2 linked regions of the Kluyveromyces lactis genome follow. The protein of the gene in region 1 interacts with the protein of each later gene in a pairwise test. Links are inferred from orthologs where the notes say so. Each region holds a gene or a part of one and is shown in the gene's direction. Other genes may lie near its edges.

Evidence for each region.
Region 2: the proteins of PEX11 (region 1) and MCK1 interact in a protein complementation assay, tested with the Saccharomyces cerevisiae proteins (2 studies listed by BioGRID). The link is inferred for Kluyveromyces lactis from reciprocal best matches to the Saccharomyces cerevisiae genes PEX11 and MCK1.

The regions. Positions count from the first base shown.
Region 1 is NC_006041.1:176,889-179,584, reverse strand, and holds PEX11 (Pex11p), read left to right. Parts: upstream 1-1,366; coding exon 1,367-2,071; downstream 2,072-2,696. Other genes in the region: DNA replication protein PSF3, read right to left, coding at 1-354; SPT20 (Spt20p), read left to right, coding at 2,594-2,696. UniProt on the Saccharomyces cerevisiae protein: Involved in peroxisomal proliferation. Promotes peroxisome division and biogenesis.
Region 2 is NC_006041.1:672,095-675,188, reverse strand, and holds MCK1 (serine/threonine/tyrosine protein kinase MCK1), read left to right. Parts: upstream 1-1,401; coding exon 1,402-2,499; downstream 2,500-3,094. Other genes in the region: MRPS18 (mitochondrial 37S ribosomal protein YmS18), read right to left, coding at 1-179; VPS68 (Vps68p), read right to left, coding at 3,059-3,094. UniProt on the Saccharomyces cerevisiae protein: May be an autophosphorylating tyrosine kinase, a bifunctional (serine/tyrosine-specific) protein kinase, or a serine kinase that is a substrate for an associated tyrosine kinase.

The DNA.
Region 1 (2,696 bases):
CGAGAACAGTGTGGCCCACTTCTCAGCCAGGGTGTAGAAATGAGGGCTAATTGAGTGAAGATCGAGACTAGTAGCACCAGATTTAATAGCGTTTAGTACTCTTGGAGCGAATAAATCAGGCGGGAGCAATTCGACAAAAGGAAGAGGTTCTTCAACTCTAGAATCTTCATTAGATTGCGCACCCACTACAGCAAGAAGATGGACCATCCAAAGTGGTAACTCTAGTTTTGCATTTTTCGATATTGGTCTGCCTGGGTTTCCCTCCAGATAACCCAACCCAGGAACGTCATAGTTGAATCTACAGGGAAATCTAGTACCATCAGCCAGTATATCATCTATATCATAGTATCCCATCTCGGCATAAATCTAAGGCGATTCTCAGGAAGCTGAACCGGCAAAATATAGGCTGGTATTTGGAATTGTAATCTTACTTTTGGCGTTTCTTCAATATGAGATATACAAATGCTTTAAATGATTTTAGGTTTGGGCTTGATGGCTCTAAATGTAAACAATAGAAAAGAACGCAGTATTATAAAGCAGAAGACATCGCTCGCTAGTTAACGATTCTTTTTTACGTGTTTCGCGATGTTGAGAGGAAATGCATCTCGATGATATAAATCACGTGATTGATGCTTGCACACTACAAAATCGTCATTATATCACTGTACACGATTCGCATACATGGCTTTCTCGTTGTCCCTTTTTTTTTTCTCGAGTTTCGGAACAAATCGGGCCATCCTTTTCAAGCTGTTAGCGGAAGGACATTTGGTCCGAAATACACGTAAAAATGTGCGCCTACATACTAAATATTATGTCGCCCTTTTTCCCGGGATCCCAGTCTTCACCTAGTAAGATTGCTATTGTTGCATGTCTTCCCCCGGTACAAATGTCCTTAATACAGCAGGATCTTCCGTGCTAGTAACTTCGCAGCTCTGACTTGTCCCTCCCATTTTTTGTGGGGGACCCGAAAGAAGTTGATAATAAAGTACGTTTCGCTGCTAAGTGGAAATCCTCTCCTTTTACCGTAGAGCCTGACTATTTTCTGTTGACCCTGCTTTGATCTATGCCCATTGACATATGAAGTATAACATCACACTTTATATATATATATATATATTTATATATAAAGTAGAAAATGACTGCTGAAAATAAAGACAAGCAGTTTTAAGCATTTTCACTACTCCTTGTATTCCTATCTCATCAGACTCTGTTGAAATACGTTGCACCTGCGATACAATCTCTCTCTAGTGCTTTGTTTGAATATACTGTTTCCAATATTCTACCTCCTTCAGAAATCAATTGAAATACTGAGCCAGTTATCCTGAGTCATCTTCCACATCTAAACTTATAAGTTTTACAAACAAAAATGGTTTTAGACACAGTTATTTATCATCCTACGTTGACCAAATTCATTTCTTTGTTGAATAAAACAGCCGGCAGAGAAAAGATCTTGAGATTGCTACAGTACTTGGTTAGATTCCTTGCCGTTCAATACAGATCTGGTTTGAATAGACAGTTACAATCTGAATTCACGTCTGTCAGAAAGATTTTGAGATTCTTCAAGCCATTGAATCATATCCAGGACGCAGCCAAATTATACGATAACAAGATTGCTCCAGATCAATGGGTTAGATGGTTGTCCATAATCAAAAATGTGGGTTATGTTGGGTATTTAACTTTGGATCAAATTAACTTGTTGCGCATCCTAAAGTTAATCCCAGCTACTCCTATTACTGCCAAGAAAGTTCCTCGTTACACAAACTGGTTTTGGTTCGTTGCGTTGATCGCTGGTTTGATCACCGATGTCCGTAAGTTGTACACTTCTCAAAGAAAGATCGAAGCCTCTTTGAGTTCTAAGGGCAATGCACCAACCGAAAAGGCTAGTTCTGAAAAGTTGACCGCTTACTACAATGAGAGATTCGCCGCATTCAGAAGACTAATCTGGGATTCTATCGATACTTTCATTGTCTTAAATAACTTGCAATTCTTGCGTAATGACGAATCAAGTGTCGCCCTGGCTGGTGTCGCTACATCCGTCTTTGGTCTACAAGATGTCTGGAAGACTGCTTAAAGGACTTCTCCTTCCCTTTAATTTAGTTTATATATATATATATATTTATATGTATCTTCTTTCAACTTAACATATTACTCGATATGTTGATAATTGTAATTTCAGCTGGTACCGGGATAATTTCTGATGATGCCTCCGTATTAACTAGATGTCTGTGCAGCTATTAGGATATACTATCACCATTGTTTCATCATTTTAATACCAATGTTACCCGCACTTGTTGATGTTTACACTTTTCGACAGGCTTCAAAGTTGAAATTGTTGAAAACTACTTGAAATTCCATTTCATCGAGGACATTAAGCGAGCACCATATTCGCGGCTACTCTTGCACTTCTATTCGTAATTCATTGCTTCTGCGGGATAACATCACCACTATTTTTATAGGTGGATATTCCTCAATTTAGACTAATCGCTTTGGGATTATTTCATTCTGTTCTTTTCATTGAAAAGCCGGTTGTTAATCTGATCTGGTATTCGAAATACAGCAGATTGTTAAAAAGACAAAAGAATTGAAAAAAAAAATGAGCACAGGCACTGGATATCCTCCCAGTCATGCAAAAACAGGAGACTCTCGTTCTATTCCTTCACAGCAACAAATGCAGGTGCCAGTAAGTGGGAATATGC
Region 2 (3,094 bases), about 500 kb from region 1:
ACTGCTTCATCGACTCTCCCTTTCTTATTGCTACCACGAAGAGTATTAGGTTGGACAACATTGGTGTCTTCCATCACTGGAGCCTTTTCTGATCCTTTGACAGATGAAAATAAGATGGAAGCCACATCTTGGTTTGTCCTGGCCGTTGAGCTGAACAGTCTCACTAATGTTCTCAGCATCGTGGTGTATTTTCGACGCCGATTTATATTAACCACAACCTGTGTCTTTCTCGAATGCAGGTCTCCATACTCAGACGAATAGTATTCCTCTATGAAATGCAAACTCTAAATATCTTCTGTTTTCCCAATTCATTTTCAAGATATGCTCATAAACCATTACCCGGTGTTGCATTAACACGTGACTAACTTGTCATTACCCGGTGTATAAGGATTAGCCTTTAATGTGAAGTGCCTGCAGTCCACTGGCGGAAGATATCACGTTGATAAAGAGTGCCGAGATGCGATGGGGTAAACATTTGATAGAAATATTATATGCAGACTGGCGAAGATCACCTCGCATTCCCCAAACCATTTCTACAACTTGATGCTACAATCAAGAGAAAGTTCAGGTGGAGGATATAGGACCTGAACCTGAGTAATTCCTCATTAATGCTATAAATGCCAATTTAACTTCGTTTGTGCATTCATATCTAGAGAGAGTGTAGTACTCTCAGAGTCGAACTTCATAAAAGCTGGCTCTGGGAGATCTTAGAATTAAATTTTGTTTGGAACGTTCCCTCAATTAGAACGTCTTTTATATCGCTTTTATCAATAATTGTGTAACTCAGTCAGTAGTCAGTCAGTCATATTGATATCAGATTCTTGGAAAACCGAATATGAAAATCAATTTTAGTTTTAGGAAATTAGGAAAAAACAAACAAAAAATAAACCAGAACCTTGTTTCAAAGTAACAAATAGGGTCTCTGATAACGGACACAACACTGCTAAGGGTGCTCAAACGTTTAAGTTCTGGGAACTTCTAGTTGTTGAATTTGCCGAGCGATTGCAGCGCGAAGAATTTACTGCGAAGAAACATTATAGACACTGCTGCATCACTTGTTGCAAGGGACTAATTGACTTGCTTGAGTAAGAGTGTTTTCCCCCTGTTGTGTTGCTTTTATTAATATTAGCGATTTCATTTCATCAATTCATTTAATACAGATTTTATTGATTCATTACAATTCAATATTTCCCTTTTTTTCCTGAACCATCCACGTTACATCCGTTAGGAACATATCTATATTCTAAGGTTTGCTTGCAAAATAACGGTTGAAGTTTGTAATTTGAAGACTTGAGCGAAATACAACGAACAAAAAGTGGTAATTTTTTTCTTATTCGATAGATATCGCATCGCTTTTGTATCTGTTACTATCTGTCTTCTTTCCCCTTATTGCGATTCGCCATGTCTATGCAAAGATTAGATGAATACGTGGCTCATGATGTCATCAGTAATAAATCCAATGTCAAGCGAGAAATGCTCGTAAAGGAATATAAGCGAATTGGGCAAGGTGCATTTGGCACGGTGGTGCAAGCTTACCTAACACCGGATAATCAGAAGTGGTTGGGTCCTTTTGCCATTAAGAAGGTTCCTGCTCAGACTGAGTATAAATCTAGAGAGTTAGAGATTTTACGAATTGCGGACCATCCAAATGTTGTCAAATTGGAATATTTCTACACTCATATCTCACCAACAGATCATAAATTATACCAACATTTGGCGATGGAATGCTTGCCCGAAATGCTACAAAACGAAATTTTACGATATAAGAAGAATAACTTGGAGTTACCGTTGAAGCACGTTAAACTATACGCCTACCAAATTGCTAGAGGTATGCTTTACCTACATGCACTAGGAATATGCCATAGAGACATAAAACCTTCAAACGTCTTGGTTGATCCACAAACGGGTATATTGAAGATTTGTGATTTTGGATCAGCGAAAAAGTTAGAATCGAACCAACCATCGATTAGTTACATCTGTTCAAGATATTATAGAGCTCCAGAATTGATTGTAGGATGTACACAATACACAACAAAGATAGATATTTGGGGATTAGGATGTGTATTGGGAGAAATGCTCTTAGGTAAAGCAGTATTCCAAGGCCATCAACCATTATTACAACTACATGAAATCACAAAATTACTCGGGCCTCCTGACAAAAGGTTCATCTTTTTTTCTAATCCATCGTACAATGGACCTTTATTCTCCAAGCCATTATTTGAAGGAGCTCCAAAAGCAAGATTCGAGAAATATTTCGGCTACGCTGGACCAGATGGTGTTGATTTGTTGATGAGTGTGTTGGTATACGAACCTGAAAGAAGAGCTTCTCCAAGAAGGATCCTTGCACATCCATTCTTTGATGATTTAAGAAATGAGCGCTATTTCTTCCCTAGCGGAAGTTCACAACCTAAACATTTACCTCCTCTTTATGACTTCTCTGATTTCGAATTGCAAGTCATTGGCGACCTTTTTCCAAAGATACAGCCAAAGCAAGATTGATTCTTGCCTCTTGACATTTTTTTCCTTTCTGTAATCCTTTGTATCAACTTCAATGCATTTCACAAGCTACGATAAACTATCTCAAGGACAGTCTTTCCGATGATTCTACGTCCTCTAAATCCAGTTCTCAGCATCATTGTTTTTCAATCCTGCTGTTTATCTTACCTTTAATCTTTTATTTTATTATTATTATTATTATTATTATTATTATTATTATTATTATTATTATTATTATTATTATTATTATTATTATTATTATTATTATTATTATTAATTCTACGCTCTTCTAATACATCGATATTCTTCATTCAGCACTCCAGGCTTAGCCCGTTACCAATTTATCGTACGTTACCGTTCATGCTAATTGTGTTCCAGAGATAATAAAATGAGACATGTACAACTCATAGAGGGGCTGTTGAGTCATAGGAATAATTGACCGTTTCTAATACGTTTTAAAATTGGGAAGGTATTTATACGTATACATGCAGAAGGCTATATCTGTACACTGTTCTTAAATACGGCAATCCAATATGATACTTCACGAAGTTTCATTGACACATCATAGAGTCAATGAATAGTTATATTCATCCTCCAC